2 linked regions of the Daphnia pulex genome follow. The protein of the gene in region 2 binds, or shares a complex with, the protein of the main gene of each other region. Links are inferred from orthologs where the notes say so. Each region holds a gene or a part of one and is shown on either strand. Other genes may lie near its edges.

Region 1 (7,890 bases), on a different chromosome or scaffold from region 2:
CTGATGCGCCATGGATATATAGTGCATCCGTTGTATACAAACAACGAGTATTATTATTATTATTATTATTATTATTTGGAATTTATTATTTTATAAGAAAAAGAGGGGGTCTTTTATGTTCATTAATGCGCTAGCAACGCCAGATTTTATCATCGACTTTCATTAGGGAAAAAATAAAGAATTTGAGTCATCGAGATTACTGGCGATAAAAGATGGATTGATTCGCGTTTAATTCCGGCCTATAAATGTCGTCCATGTCTTGATATATGAGTCACACACAAGAATAAATCTACGCAATCTTAAGAGCTCAAGAGAGAATTGATTTCATTTTGATTGACACTCTCTCCAGATTAAGTTTCGAATGGTTTAAATGACGAGAGAGGATATAGTATTATTTACTTCTTCTTCAAACACCGTAATATAACGGTAGATGTGTACATCAAGTCATCAAATCCTGCCCCGTAAAACTGCCAAGTCACATTGAAATGAAGATTTTTCCCTTTTGAAAAACAATTTTTTTGTTTATCCCTTTCTTTTTTCAAACAGATTCCAAATCTTTTAATCGCCTGTAGCTTCGTGTGGGTTCAAGAGTGAAACACTTTTACGATATCTGCCGCCTTTTATAATAAATCATCGACACTTTGAAATCTTCACTAAAGCCTTTGGCCATGAAGTACGTACACAAGGATAACTAGGAGGACGTCTAGCGGTCCAACTTTGGACTCGGTTTTGAAAACCTTTGCTTACGTCACACGATATGGAAAAATTATAATAAATAAAAAAAAAACGCTTAGATCGGCTGAATCGACACACATTGATCGGAAAACATATGTTGCGAAATAATACGGACTTTGCTATTTGTCCCCCGCGCAAGACCTTTGAATTATTGACCAGTTCCGGATCAATAACTATTGCGGATGAGTAGTATATTATGAATGAATTTTGAGCAATGAGTTTTCGGGCTTTCTCCTGATGGGTGCACGCAGGTGCAGCCAAATCTCATTATCAGTTTGAATAGATTATATGATTTTCTTTGCGGGAAATCGTATTACACACAAAGGGGGTGGAATCACGCAAAGTGTTTCAAGGCGATAATTATGAGCTTGCTCAATTCATTCATCGTTATGTATTTGTTCCGATTGAGGTATACTATAGTGATTACTTTGTTAGTGAGACAGACCCGTATGATGTTACCGACCGTTTTGAGCAAGACAGGTAGACAAATCTATTTCGTGACATTAGATAAACGTGTGTATATAGTATGCTAAAGGTGAAAGAACATTTGTTTCGCAGTAGCTGCTGTTGACCAATGTTTCGATTTGACATCGAACCGGTATAACCGAATATCTATAATATCTTTGTGAAGTGACGAAATTTAACCTTTCTTTATCTTTTTCTCATATGAAAACTTTTTACCGTGTTTTACGCATCAGAACCCGGCTAAGATCACGGTTCAAGATTTTGAAATACAGAAATGGAATCTTGTACAAATAATATAATGTTCGTTGGACCGGATTTCTTTCCGCAAATAAAAGACGTCACCTCTTTGGTGAATCAATTTCCCGATAGTGATTCTACATATGTCCTAGACGAAACTGTCCCTTCCACCATTCGATAAAATGGCGCTGTCCTCACAATATTTTATTTTAAAAAAATTAAAAATATAATTTATGTGACAATGAGACAGGGAAGATGATCGCCACTCAAATTTCTTTCAAAATAAATAAAAACAAAGATAGAAGATTTGCGCAAGTCAGGGAGCCTTTGTTTAAGTAAACACAAATGTACCATTGTACCTAGTGTGAATGTTAACCGTCAGCTTTAGTTTTGGAAGGGTGGGCGACATTAGATGGCGCGTCTCTTAAGTCATCGGTCAGACCGCGTTCACGACCAAGTCATTATGCATAAGAGAAATATCGTGATAAATTAACTTTGGGACTCTCAGGTTAATTTTTAAAAATATGGCAACACCTTAAATCTGCCACTGTTTACCAAAAATTTTAAAATCAAGGGAGGAACTTAAGTGAGGATGTAATCAAAAATGGCAGATTGAAATCGTTGAAATATCCTTTTTTTAAAATCTATAGCCTTCTTCAGTCAAACTGGTAATGGGCGGTGTTTGTATAGTTGTACAATCCCCGTGTCCAGAAGCTTGATGAGGAAACAAGAGAAGTAACTGACAACTTCTGCTGCCAAGCTGCACAGCCAGCCATCTCCACCGTAAACGCACGTCAAGAACAGGTCAAGAAGTGTGATAGACTCATTTAAAAAGGGTAATATTAAACCCCCCAGAAAATTATGAATAGCACATACCATCGAATTTAAGTACATACTACCATAAATGATGAGGAATAAGAAAAGGTCAAACAACACGATTGAGATTATATATGGGACAGAACCCGATTTATTGAGAAAAAGAACGAATGAAAAAAAAATTAAAAAACCGAAGCTAATAATGAAAGAAACTGAACCAGCCCTACAATCGATAATGGTCAACTTGCTCGGCTGTCTCCATCGTAACTTACCGTAAAGAATTGGTGGACTCATTTAAGGGTAATTAAACCCCCTGTCAAGGTAGTCAAATGTTACACTGACATGTAGGGTGAGGACAACCTACTTCTCTGACTGTTAGAGGAGTTGTATTGTGTAAGCACTTTCGTACTTCCCAATGACAAATCATCTTGTGCAGTTCAAAGTATATTCAGAAGTCCCCACGCACAACAGCGACACACCAACTCCATTGACAGGTTCACCCACCATTCCCTTCCGGATTGTTACGAGGAGGGAGCGTCATCACAAATCAACAAATATCAATCGCAAGACTGACATTCAGCTTCTAACATTACTTAACTTCGGTAAAAAAACACAAAAAAACAAAAACCAAATCAACTGCAACTCATCCAAAGAAAATCGAAGATTAAACATAAGGGCGGCTTTAATTCCTGTAACGTTTCCGTTCTTCAAACGCTTTATAATCCCACATTTTCTTCTCTGTTTTCTTGATCTCCGTCATGTCTAACCAGCTGTCGTATTGGTACCGAAGTCTCGGTTCTATTAATAAGTCCTTTGCACGATTAAGTGCCTGGCTTAGTCGGTTTGCCTTCATCAACGCTTTTTCAACATCATCTGTTTGTATCTGATTGACCTTGTCCGGATGGGCTTGTAGAATTTTCTCTTTGTAGGACTTCATGATTTTTTCGTCGGTGTCTGTCCTTTTCACGTTCAGAATCTTGTAGTAATCTGGTAGCGCGTAAGAGCTGAGCTCTAGTTCGTCCACAGTGTCGTTCAATTCGCAGTTTTTCTGTGTCAACTCGGCAACCCTAGACTCCAGCTGCATCAAGTGTTCGTTTTGTTCATCGATTACTTTTGAATACCTCGTATCCATTTCTTCCATCTCAGTGCGGTGGTTTTCTTCGCATTCATCAATTATAGAGTACAACTCTGAGATAATTTCTTCAAGTTCATTGTTTTTGCAGTTTCTGTTGTTAAGCAAAGTTTGGTAGTATTGTCGAATTTTTCCGACGCTTTCCTGGTGGTCGCTTTCTAACTCCTGGATTTTCTTCTTTGACAAGGCTTTTTCTTCCTCAAGTTCTTTTGCTTTGCTGTCTAGTTGGAGGACAAGCTTTTCGTTTGCGCTTTGAAGAATATTACGGGCAGCGTGGAACCCTCTCATCTTTCGTTGCATAGATGTATTATGAGCGCATATCTTTTTGTACTGATCTTCAAGTTCCTCAATCCTGTTATCAACGACCGTCGTAGGAAGTTGCACATCCACGGTTTGAGTCGACTTATCCTCCTGTTCCGGGACTAGTATCACGTTGTTCTGTGCTAGTGCGGACTTGGTGTTGGCAGGATTAAAATCATCAACGTCGTCGACATTCAGTGCTGATTGGTTGTTCTTCAGGTGCGAGATGGTTTTCTCGAAGTTGGTGATGTCTCGATTTTTGGCATACAGTTCACACCTGGTAGAAATTAGCTCGTCACGTACCTCGTCATGTTCTGAGCTCAACGTGGAAAGTTCAAGTTTCAGTTGGATAACTTGATTTGCCAAACGTTCATTGTCTCTTTTCAACTTGCCATTCTCCTCTGTTTGGAATTGCTCATCGGGAATGCTGGTTGTTGTTAGCATTTCCGAATCCACTGTGAGCCGCTGTCTGGTGTCTTGACAAACTTCCGGTTCAACATCGACGCTGTTTGGGTATTCAGCTGATGAATGCTGATTTTTGGTACTAGGAGAAGATTTTTCGGTAAAATATTTCACCCAAACCCAAATCACAACGATTTCCAATAAAAGACCCATCTCGAAATATCTGCTGAAAACTTTTGTAAACCAAAACTACTAAGCAGTCTTATTATCTGTTGGCGTTGACTTGGGCTTTATATAACCTGCCATGGGAATCATTACTTATGCAGGGCTGTTTTTTCCTTCTTTTTCTTTCACCTCTTATTAGGTTTTTTCTTTTTAACATTCGTACTGAACTTAAATCATAGTTTATAAATTTGCGCATGTTATTCAATTAGTGTGAAGTTGATTGAAAATAACTATCAACTCTTTTTTTCCATTTTAAAACTCAGCATTGTGCTCGAGAAAAGTCGAGATTACGGTTTGCCTGGTTTGAAAATGCGACAGAGCGCCTGGGCGGTAAATTTGCAAACTAAATAACTTGTCTAAACTTGAATTCGTCGATGAAATTTATTCGGTAAATTAGTCAAATCGTCAAATTACCAAGTATATTTATTAAATTTGAGTTAAAACCCGGTTTAAACCACCATGGTTTTTTACACTGCAAAGCGAACGACATTGTAAAATGTGTTTAGGGATGAATGTTTCGGCTTGTTTTGGAGAGGGGGTAACCAGCAGTAGAACACAAGCGAGTAGCGTGGGTTGTTTCACTGAAATTTACAAATCGTAATTTATTACACAAAATGCCGAAAAGCGAGTTTTATTTACGATATTATGTTGGGCACAAGGGAAAATTCGGCCACGAGTTTCTCGAGTTTGAATTTAGGCCTGATGGTAACTAAATATCATGTTATTTGATGTCACATTTGCACCTTTCACTAAATACCGGGTCGTCCTAATTTCTTTTTAGGCAAACTGAGATACGCCAATAATTCCAATTATAAAAATGACACCATGATCAGAAAAGAGGTAATTTCAACAAGATATATGTTTATCAAGATCTGCAACATTTGATTTCTTTCTTTAGGCATATGTTCATCAAAGTGTTTTGAATGAGTTGAAACGAGTTATCGAAGACTCTGAAATTCTTCAAGAAGATGATTCCCTGTGGCCAACTCCTGATCGTGTTGGAAGACAAGAGCTTGAAATTGTCATGGGAGATGAACACATTTCATTCTCAACATCAAAGATTGGCTCCCTTGTAGATGTCAATCAATCAAAGTAAATCTATATTATTTTGAAACCAGTAAATTAGTTTAATTTCCCTTAATATTTTACAGAGATGCTGATGGATTACGTGCATTTTACTATCTGGTCCAGGATTTGAAGTGTCTCGTGTTCTCTCTCATTGGTCTCCACTTCAAGATCAAACCCATTTAAAGATTTTGACTGTGATGTGTATTGTCAAATGTCAATTTTCCATCTAACTATCCCATATGGTGTATGATTTTTTTTTGTCCAAGTAATAAAAAAGGATTTCTTGAAGAATTTTGTTTTAGTACTCAAACATGACAAAGTGTAGTGTATTCATGAACATATATTCTTTTTATAATCAGACAAAAATGAAAAGTGAAGGATACTGATTTTTGACAACAGAAGGGTGTTAATTTGGGTGTGTAATGTTATCAATAGAAACCCTGGAGGATGAAAGCCGTTGTTTATAGATTTTTCATGAGCTATCTTGTTCGAGATATCTACATTACGGGACCTCGCTAGAATGTAGAATGAATATGATTAAAAAACCGGTTAAACGTCCTTGCGAATAGGAAAGATCGATTTTACGCAACAAATGCACGAGACCTGGCGATACTGGCTTATGGCATTTCTTGTAAATGCGTAAATAAAACTAACTGGCCTACTTTTTTCCAACATATTTTGCAATACTTTCAACTGAATTATTTCCTCAAATATTTTCCGAACCGTTAAATGAAATGAGTCAATGTCAATGACACATCACATCCCACGCTATTTAAATGTCCTAAGCTCTCTCCCCTGCCTACACTGAAAATGTTAACAACTAACTGAAATAGATACAATTTGACCTTAAATTTTAAATTTTATGATTTCCAAATCATTTAGTAATGGAACCAAGTTTAATTCACTTTCTTTAAAAAAAAGTTAAGTAAAATAAACTTGTCAAGTTCAACCTGAGCAATGTGTGTTTAGGGTAGGTGTGTTGCAAAAGAAATTGCCTACCCTAGGTTTCCATTCCTTTGCTTCCGTTTTGCGGATCGTTCTGCCTTTACGTTTTTTTGGCTGTCTGTTGAAACATGTCATACTCGAACGATAACAGGTACTGCTGCCGATTTCGTGGTTTATTTGTCTTTTTCGTGTCGTTTAAGTTTCCAAAGATACGTCCTTAGTCGCTTTAATTAGTGCTGTTACTCTGGAATTTATTAGATCAGTCATTCCTTGAGAGTTAAACGTTAAAATTTGGGATTTTGTCACGAGTGCCCCGGCTGGTACATCATGGCGGCGTGGGGTTGATTCATTTTTTGCTAAATGCTTTAACTGAATTAATATGGAGTTATTTTATTGTGTCCTGTAGTAATATTCATTGTGATAGTTGTAATCATGTGGTTTCATTTAACATTCTATGGTCTTCCACATATGCAAGTTAACTCATTCTGAAATGTCTGTTTCAGGGAAGAGAATTGGAGCGGGAAGGCTCCCAAGAATGGGACTGAAGAACGTCCTGAAGGAGAGGCTGAGGACCGTGGAAACTATGATGGCCCACCAGGCATGGACCCTGACGGTGTCATTGAGTCCAACTGGGATAAAGTGAGTTCAAGGACACCAGAATCTCAAGTAGCATCGTAACATGAAACATTACTTTTTTTTACAGATTGTGGACAACTTCGATGAGATGAAGTTGAAGGAGAAGCTGCTGCGTGGTATCTATGCTTATGGTTTTGAGCGTCCCTCTGCCATTCAGCAGCGTGCCATCTTGCCCTGTATTATGGGTCATGATGTTATTGCTCAAGCCCAGTCTGGTACCGGCAAGACGGCGACTTTCGCCATCTCGTTGTTGCAGCAGATTGACATCGATGCCAATGAATGTCAGGCGCTCGTGTTGGCTCCCACTCGCGAGTTGGCCCAGCAGATTCAGAAAGTATGAGTCAAGTGGTTATGGGTTGAGTGAACTTGGATTTTAAACAGATTTCAACAACTTAGGTCGTTTTGGCCCTTGGTGACTACATGGATGCGCAATGCCACGCTTGCATTGGTGGAACCAATGTTCGTGAAGATCTTCGCAAACTGTCACAAGGTGTCCACGTCGTCGTTGGAACTCCAGGTCGTGTCTTCGACATGATCAACCGACGAGCATTGAGTAAGTCCATGATACCATCTTCTTCATTGTGTGCATTCGTTCATTGAAATTCTTTTCACAAATATTCAGAGACGAATTGCATCAAAGTCTTCGTGTTGGATGAAGCCGATGAAATGTTGTCTCGTGGTTTCAAGGATCAGATTTATGATGTTTTCAAGAATTTGCCCGCTGAAGTGCAGGTGAGTGAAAATGGCGAGTTAAAATACGTATAGAGTATCAATTTCGACTAATTTATCATAGGTCATTCTGCTTTCGGCCACGATGCCGGCTGATGTCATGGAAGTAACGAATCACTTCATGCGTAACCCCATCCGAATTCTCGTCAAGAAGGAGGAACTGACGCTTGAAGGTATCAAGCAGTTCTACGTCCAGGTAA
Region 2 (8,905 bases):
CCCGAGTTGCTGCTGGTGAAAGGAGTTTACAATTGCATTGCGTCGATCCCATTCGGGCTTGTCACGCACTGTATATCAGACTGGGTTCTGTCTCCAGTTGAGCCACTCGACAACCCAATTATACTCTGAGTATATACTGTTTCAAATGTCGTCCAACAACAGAGGAAAACAAACTTGACTTATTTGAACGGAACAGCCTCATTCGTGCTGCTGCTGCGTTCTTCTTTTATTTATTTGCCTTCTTCAAATCCATTTTCTCGGCGGTTCCGCTTTACTTTCGATCTCTCTTCTTCTTTCTATATGACTAGACAGTTCCCAGGATGGATGGTATAAGACCTTGGCAATGTAACGATGAGCGTTGTCCAAAATCAATTACCGGCTACAGATGTTAAGAAATTTGTGAGCGAATAGCTTTCCAGTTACAATGTGCAGGCTACACAAATAACAAGCCTGGCCGAGATTGCAATTGGGTCATCATTCGTGCTGCTCCGTCTTCTAGATCCCGTCTCTGCAGAAAATGCTTGAGTTTCCAAAATGTTTTCGAAATGCTATGTCTTTGTCTTGAAATGTCATTATTTCGTTTTATTGCGTGATTGTCCTGGAAGAAAGTTGTGCGGGAGAAGGAAAAACAAAAAGTTGAAAAGGACAATGGGGTATTAATAGTTGTTCGTGCTGCTCTTCGTCCACTAGTTTCGTGGCGATCTGCATTCACAAGAGTATACCTCCACACGGACGATTTACATACTACATCTAGATTCAATTTGTCGTCTAGAAGAAGGTTCGGACTGGCTGTGCAGCAAAAGATATTGCCCAGTTCGGCATTCGTGAATAACTTCAGGGACAGTGGTCACTACTAAGGGCTCGGAAAGGAAAACTTGATAGATTAATTACTAGGACTCACCAATTTATAGTTATTGGTAAATACAATTATTTAGATTTTAATTAGCTACAGAGCATATCCGGATCGCGCCATAGGGGACGTAAACGTCACAGACAGGCTACGGTAAACATCTGGTAAACATCTGATAGGATTGGCGATGCCATCAAGTGAATGAGAATGACACTACTTTAGATTCGCTTTGGCAACATAAAATTATACCGCAACCTCTTTATTGATTTAGCATTGTGAGCTGAGTGACTGAGTCTGACGTATTCGATGGTCGTATTCAAGGACCTCTGACTTTCATGGATCCTGTGGCAACTGCGTGGCCTGCGTCATTTCTTTGTCATTTATTTATATTCGTACAGGCTAACTGCATTGAATAATTTCGGTAGGATATTAACGGTGGTGAGCTGGTGCCGATGCACTTTATTTAATAAGGGGCTGCGAGCCTGCGACAGTCTTCAGCATTTTTTATTTTTTTTTAATTTGTTAAAATTTGTGTGTCATAATTTACTTGACTGGCATCGTTGCACTTGCACTGTTTATCCTGCTGCTCCATCCATCATTTGAATCGTCTGTACTTTCTGTACTCTGTAAACGTAATCGCTATCTTGAAAGCAAAGCACATGGTTCGATTATTTGTAGACTAAATTTTTGATTGGGTTGTATGGATTTTTTACTTACTCATATAACTGAATTGATCCAATTGATTTCAAGAAAAGTTTTATGATTTTCCCTTCACTACGTGTTGAAGAAGATTTATTTAGTATCTTCCTGTAAATATGAATTGCCAATTGCCCCACAATATATGGAGATCTCGTACATTTGAGAGAAAAGGCTACCACGATCGTGATGCAACTAATGAGGATCAGTTTAATTTTGATTCCTATATTACCTGTCCAAGAATCAGTTTCTTAGAAAATGGTCTCTTGCGTAACAATACAGTAGAGAACTGGCCTGATTTGATGGATTTGGATGAACACATTACACTGCCTACACCATTGCTACCACCTAATGCTTCTGTAAAATGTGGAAGAGGTAAATGTGGAACTTGTTTGGCAACTAGCGTAAGCTGTTTTTATTAACATTTTATTCCATCATTAGGTCCTGTTGTACGAAGTGTAAGCAAAAAGGATGAGCTCAATCACTTTTTATTCAAAGAAACTCTTGCACATGAATGCAGACTGCTCATAAGAAACAGCAAAGGTGAAATTAATCTAAGTACATTAAAAAATAATTGGAAAAAGTTTATCAAGAGAAATGAAATTCCTGAACCTGAAAGAAATTTAGTAACAATTATGGACAGATATGGATGTGATGAGGTATTCAATTTAAATAGTCTCCAAATTATGTTCTAATCATTCGAATTTTGTTTTCATTTTAGCCTCCAACAGAAACATATGCAGGTGGAAATTTAGCTATTGTGTGGTTGCAAAATGAAAGATATTTAGTACACTCAGCGATGGAACCATTTGATTGTCAGATGTGTAAGAATTATATCATGTTGTGTATTTATTGCAGCCAGTTTTAATTTATCTGCCCATTTTAGGTTTGACTCGAATGACGGCAGATGACATGAAGAATCATCCCTTGGAATCCGTGAGTACAAAAACGCCATTCAATGATGGAACGGTGTACCAAATAGCTGTTCCCCGCCAAAGTGGTTGTTGGGATCCATCTTTTCAGCAACAAAACGGTACAACTATTGGTGTGTTATTTGCATTAAATAGATGTGTATCATATCGATTGTCTGTGTATGAAGAAGATCCTCTATTTGCGACACGTCAGTTTCATACGACACGATTGTGGAAGGTTGAACAGAGGGAAACGGGAAGTCTGCCCATCATTACCAATGTGCAAGAGTGTTCCGACCCGTCTTCTACTGTGCGTTACGTCGAATTCAATCAGTTTGATTGTGGAGAGTTTTGTGAGTTGCGCTCTCAAGAAATTAAGATTTCAGAAAGAGGGTAAGGTTTAGCCGTTTAATCAATGTTCACAAATTTGTTTATTTTAAAAATTCATTCTGATGCTTACAGGTTATTAAAATATCAAAGAGCAGTGTATAAAAAGTACGACAGTTGTGTGTACGTGAACCATAAGATACTTCTCTTTAGTTCCAGTCGTACACTTGACTTACTCGACGTCCGGTGTAAAAATACAGAGAATTTACAGCCTATTTTCTCCATTGATGATCAAGGAATGCGGTTGTTTTATAACATGCCTCCACTCGAAACAATTGTTAGCTGTTCAGCAAGCTCTCGTGATAACGTAAGTGAAATTTATAATTAATTTTACTTTAGTTGGGATATTTAATAACCTACAACCACTTTTTGCAGGTTTATCTAATATCTACCGGGAAATCACTTCTAGTCTGGGATATAAGATGTGGAAGCCGCCTACTACATCGGGCGGAACACCTACTTGAAAGCCCTCCCGATTGGATTTCGACTGTTCAACTCGGCCCTGATAAAGATTGGATTTTCCTCGACTCTCAGAACCCTGCTTCATCTGGAATGGTCGGTCTGAGCTGGAACAACCAAGAAAATTGTCTAGATTTAATGAACGATTTGCCGGTTGTTTCTGTTGAATTTGAACCGAGAATACGTTGGAGTGTCCTCGACACCTTTGGAGCTATCCAGCAACGAGGTCTAGGACTCGATTGGTCAATCCAAAATCGTTTTAAGCAAATGCGGAGTGGAATTGCTTGTGACAAAGATAGTGATGGAACAATTCAAATCTGGCAGTGTACTGTTGCCGGTGACTTATTTTCTCAGCAGTTGAACCCAAGTAAAAGAATAGGACCTAGTGAGCAAAAAGCTTCGCATCTTTTCTTCAGTCAGCTGAGCGATTGGACCGAAGCTGTTGAGCAGATTGAGGAATTGAACGCCTCGTTATCACAAAATCTATTTGATCAAACCGAAGAGTGTGACGCAGAAAAACTTAAAGACAGTAATAATTACATAAAGCTAAATCACGTTATTCAATTTTAAATAACTGTGAATACAATTGATGACAATTTTTAGGTATACAGAAAACTTCAGAAGAAGTGGAAGAAGAAAACTTTGGGAGTTTCCATATGCCGGCAATATTTAATCACAAATATACTTCAATGCCTGACGCCCTTGAAATGGACTGCCCTGAGGACAAAACACGAAACATCGATGGGCAAGGCGCAGGTCTCAACAAGGAGTGGATGGAAGAAAGAAATCCTGGGCCATGTTCCCAGAATTTCTTACCAGATGACACGTTCGCGTTAGACTTCCAGGATGACCTCATCTCATCTACACCCTTTCAACCGATGCAAAAGACACACGGGGCTGCACCTTTACCTGGCTTTCTCATATCTTCAACCCCTGCAATACGCGCAGTCAAACCCAATTGTTTTCCTTCGCCTAAGCGTAATCTTACCTCGACTCCATTTCGACACCAAACCCCTCAAACCCCTCAAACCTGGAACGCTCCATCTCAGTATCAAGCCCCTCAAAACTGGAACGCTCCATCTCAGCATCAAACGCCTCAAAACTGGAACGCTCCATCTCAGCATCAAACCCCTCAAAACTGGAACGCTCCATCTCAGCATCAAACCCCTCAAAACTGGAACGCTCCATCTCAGCGAAAAAGTGTTAAAAGGACTCAGGAATGGGACTTTTAAATCCCCCACCCCCTGATATTATGTAACAGTTTTTCAAATTTCTTCTGTTCATGTACTCAAAGATAACACTTCAGTAATACATTTCAGTTCAAGTTAAATATGGTTAAGATATTTGTACAACCAATATTTTTTAACATTGGAATGAAATAAATACAATAAATTTCCTTTTCCATTATTTGAATGTATTTGAACTAGTATTAATTATAGACCTCAATGAGGTTTAACAGCACTTGATGGATACTCTTCTCGCTGATGATACGACTCGTACATGTCATCAACGTAAAACCGTCTCTTTCTCCAGTATTTCGTTACCATTTTGTCAAGAAGAGTTGACTGGGTAGCATTACAAAATACATGCTTTTCACCCCGAATCTTCCTTTTTGCTGTTTTGCTCCAGTGACGTTTACTGTGTCCCACCATTGGCCTTATCCATGCACCCCTAAGAAAACATAATGAATATAAATAACCAGGAATGAATAAAATATATTACCATCCTAAACGATAGAACCTAGAAACAACAGCTTTAACTGTTTTGCGCTTCCCTTTTTTGAGTGACCATTTTGTAACTGATCGGGTTTGCTGCAAAGAGGGAGTAGTTCTGCAAGAAAGTAAGCTTAATTTGTGTGCTTAATAAAATTTAAATTCTTGCTTACAATGACAGATTTTGAAGCAATGGGGAAATAGATGATAATATACTTGGGGTAGCATTCATGGAAGGGTATTGGACACACCGAAAAGTTGATTCTGACGAACCCGAAAAAAACCTTGATGTGCTAGGCAGCAAAATTTTTGCTTTGACTGAAACGACATTTTTAGAAATTGGTGAATAATTCGCCAATCGAAAAGCCGATTGAATAACGTTTTTCAAAGTAAACATTTTAGATTTTTATTTTTCTTGAATCGGGAGAAAATTATTTTCAGTGTTCGTTCGTCTGCTTAATTGAATCTTTTCATGCACGATATCGATATACAAATTACAAAGGCCAGGTCTTTAAAAGGTTTTTAGCAACTTTCATTGATTTTTATTAAATTAAAAATTAAATTAGTTTCAAATTTTAGTGGATCATGAATCATTACTTTTAAGTTGTAAATTTTTGCTTTGAAACCATGAGTATGAAAATTTGGCAACACAGTTGACTCCATGTTGAAGCGATTTTAACGTCTGTAACATTCATTCTATAGCATCCTTTCACCCTTGCCGAACGGACGCAAACTAATTATTCACGAACTATCGTGCTTTTTCACACTTCTGATTTCTAAAAAAATGGAGTCTAAAGGCAGACGTGTTGTCCAACAGATGCCGGATGATTTAACTAATATTGAATTTGAAACGAGTGAAGATGTCAATGTTATTCCCACATTTGACAGCATGGGCCTCCGTGAAGACCTGCTAAGAGGAATTTACGCTTATGGTACGTACAAATGAGACTTTCACTTGTTGAGACCTTGCTCCATTATTCACATTATCCTTAACCTACATGATTTTTAATGTTGAGGTTGGCTTTAAATGTTTCTATAGGATTTGAAAAACCATCAGCTATTCAGCAGAGAGCAATTGCCCCAGTAATCAAGGGGAGAGACGTTATTGCCCAAGCCCAATCCGGTACTGGCAAAACAGCCACATTTTCAATTTCAATTCTTCAGAGTCTTGAAATTCAAACAAGAGAAACTCAAATATTGGTTCTAAGCCCCACTCGAGAGTTGGCAGTTCAAATTCAGAAAGTATGTTATGGCATTACTTTCTGTAGTACAGTGTTTTCATTTAGCTTGTGTTTAGGTTATTCTGGCTCTTGGTGATTACATGAATGTTCAATGCCATGCGTGTATCGGCGGCACTAATGTTGGAGAGGATGTTCGAAAATTGGACTACGGTCAGCACATTGTTTCTGGAACCCCTGGACGTGTATTTGGTATATTTTGCTATTTCTGTTTGTTAAGTTTGGATTGATGATAAGTGTCTTGATAACTCTACAGATATGATTCGCCGACGTACACTAAGGACACGTTCAATTAAAATGTTGGTCCTGGATGAAGCCGATGAAATGTTAAATAAAGGGTTCAAGGAGCAAATTTACGATGTCTACCGTTACCTTCCTCCAGCAACCCAAGTATGTTTTATGATATTTCATAAGAAAAACCAATTAAATCAATCTTTTATTCAAGGTGGTTCTTCTTTCAGCCACATTGCCTCATGAAATCTTGGAGATGACCAGCAAATTCATGACAGATCCCATTCGCATTTTAGTCAAACGGTAAACGTTGTTAAAAGTCTGCTTGTTTTTTATTACTAATTATTTTATGTGGTTTAGTGATGAGTTGACACTCGAAGGAATCAAACAGTTCTTTGTCGCTGTCGAAAGAGAAGAATGGAAGTTTGACACGTTGTGCGATCTGTACGACACACTGACAATCACGCAGGCGGTTATTTTTTGTAATACTAAACGCAAGGTTAGTCACGATTAAATCTCTTCTATTGTTGATTTCGATGTAACACAGTTAGATTGATTTTAGGTTGACTGGTTGACGGAGAAAATGCGTGAAGCGAATTTTACCGTTTCTTCAATGCACGGAGACATGCCTCAAAAAGAGCGTGATACTATTATGAAAGAATTCCGTAATGGTCAGAGGTATTGAAATTTTCGTCTACCATATAACCATTCAGAGTAATAACAATTATTCGTTTATTCTAGCCGAGTTCTTATTACAACTGACGTTTGGGCTCGTGGTATTGATGTTCAACAAGTTTCGTTGGTCATTAACTACGATCTCCCTAACAACCGTGAGTTGTACATCCATCGTATCGGTCGTTCTGGCCGATTCGGACGTAAAGGTGTTGCAATTAACTTTGTCAAGAATGACGATATCCGTATTCTCCGCGATATCGAACAGTACTATGCTACACAGGTTGACGAAATGCCCATGAATGGTAAAATATTTTTAGCATGTTTTTTTTTAACTCTTTCTAAATGTGTTTGTTTTTAATCAATTTCAGTGGCTGACCTCATTTAATCTATAATCCATTTCGGAAAAAGGAAAACAAAGAAGTTGATGCGTCATGTTTTTATTTTGCTGGATTTTTTTTTTCTGTATCCCCGAAGATTTGGACTAAATATATGAAACTTGTGGCCGTTTAATTAATTGTCTTGTTCCATTGTTGGAGTCTAAAAATGACGTCTACTTTACTCGTAGATCTGAAGTAATATATGAACCTTTTGCTCATGAGTTATGACTTATTGACTTATGAGTTATGACACAGTATTTATAATAAGGCATGTTGATTTTTTTTACTCACTTTGAAAATACTTGCGACAATTCGAAACCAGTATTTGAAGGACGTTCCAAATTCCAATTACAAAGTTAGATTTGTTGTATCTCTAGTAGCTGAACAAAAGCTAGAAACTAGCTGAAAACTTGGTTGCTGAAACCCAGTACCCCACATTTCCTTTTTTCTGTTTGAAAACAGTTTTGGTCTGCTACAGTTCGAAGCACCCGGTTGTTGCTTGTTGGTGGGTGATGAAATCATTTGTCACCTCGTCAACAATGTCTTTTTCAACTAATAATTTAATACGTTTTGGCTCCGGCACTTCTAATTTATTGAGAATACTTGGTAATAATCAAATAGGAGCTGGAAACGGTGTTACTAGTCGATCCATTCAATTGTCGTCAGGAGATCAATCATCTTTGGGTATTTCATTTTACACCTCGTTAATCAAATTACGATGATTATTTATTTTTTTAGACACATTTGCTTCTTTTTCCAGCACATTACAATGTTCTATGTTTTTTATTCCAGGTTCTCAAACTCGCAAAAGATTTTACAAAAAAGTCAGCACTGTCCAATCAAATAAAGATTTTGAAATCATTCTTGACAATAGAAAACTTAAAACTCCTGCAGGTAGTGTATTTCGTGTTTCCAGTGAACCATTAGCTCTAGCTGTTGCTAATGAATGGGATGCCCAGGAAGAAAAAATTTTAGTATCGTCAATGCATCTTGTGAGTTATGGTAAAAGTTTTCTTATTGCTTACCAATCTTGCTTACAAGTTTTCTTTCAAATATAGACATCTCTTGTTAACACTATCCTGGATAATCCAAACAAATTACGAAAACAAGATATTGTCAGTCACATTCTTACCTACCTAGACAATGATACACTTTTGTGCAGGGAAGAGGTAATTACTTGATTTAGTACATATTATACAGGATAAACTGATAAGTTTTGTAAAACATATTTTAATGCAAACAATAGGGTAACTCTGAATGGTCATCTGAACAAACAAAAGAGTGGGATCCATTGGTTGACTGGTTTAATCAAAGGTCTGTAAAAAAAAATAAGTAATAAAACCGACAATGTAATATAAATAATTTCATC

What was found.
Region 1: eukaryotic initiation factor 4A-III (region 2) and protein mago nashi homolog share a complex: the UniProt entries of both Drosophila melanogaster proteins name them as parts of the mRNA splicing-dependent exon junction complex. The link is inferred for Daphnia pulex from reciprocal best matches to the Drosophila melanogaster genes CG7483 and mago.

The regions. Positions count from the first base shown.
Region 1 is NC_060025.1:2,831,944-2,839,833, reverse strand, and holds protein mago nashi homolog, read left to right. Parts: upstream 1-4,829; 5' UTR 4,830-4,926; coding exon 4,927-5,017; intron 5,018-5,093; coding exon 5,094-5,152; intron 5,153-5,210; coding exon 5,211-5,404; intron 5,405-5,463; coding exon 5,464-5,563; 3' UTR 5,564-5,671; downstream 5,672-7,890. Other genes in the region: uncharacterized protein MCAP_0864-like, read right to left, coding at 2,936-4,300; eukaryotic initiation factor 4A-I-like, read left to right, coding at 6,454-6,476, 6,829-6,964, 7,029-7,295, 7,358-7,514, 7,584-7,693, 7,755-7,886. UniProt on the Drosophila melanogaster protein: Core component of the splicing-dependent multiprotein exon junction complex (EJC) deposited at splice junctions on mRNAs. Involved in exon definition of genes containing long introns, including the rolled/MAPK gene.
Region 2 is NC_060018.1:3,383,566-3,392,470, reverse strand, and holds eukaryotic initiation factor 4A-III, read left to right. Parts: upstream 1-5,669; 5' UTR 5,670-5,799; coding exon 5,800-5,947; intron 5,948-6,054; coding exon 6,055-6,257; intron 6,258-6,312; coding exon 6,313-6,445; intron 6,446-6,509; coding exon 6,510-6,643; intron 6,644-6,698; coding exon 6,699-6,787; intron 6,788-6,844; coding exon 6,845-6,983; intron 6,984-7,046; coding exon 7,047-7,162; intron 7,163-7,225; coding exon 7,226-7,461; intron 7,462-7,527; coding exon 7,528-7,544; 3' UTR 7,545-7,669; downstream 7,670-8,905. Other genes in the region: uncharacterized protein LOC124188409, read left to right, coding at 1,666-1,921, 1,988-2,205, 2,268-2,370, 2,433-2,579, 2,646-2,850, 2,920-3,151, 3,220-3,832, 3,907-4,535; 39S ribosomal protein L35, mitochondrial-like, read right to left, coding at 4,746-4,974, 5,026-5,133, 5,189-5,412; ATP synthase mitochondrial F1 complex assembly factor 2-like, read left to right, coding at 8,049-8,220, 8,329-8,528, 8,595-8,705, 8,783-8,850. UniProt on the Drosophila melanogaster protein: ATP-dependent RNA helicase. Core component of the splicing-dependent multiprotein exon junction complex (EJC) deposited at splice junctions on mRNAs. Involved in exon definition of genes containing long introns, including the rolled/MAPK gene.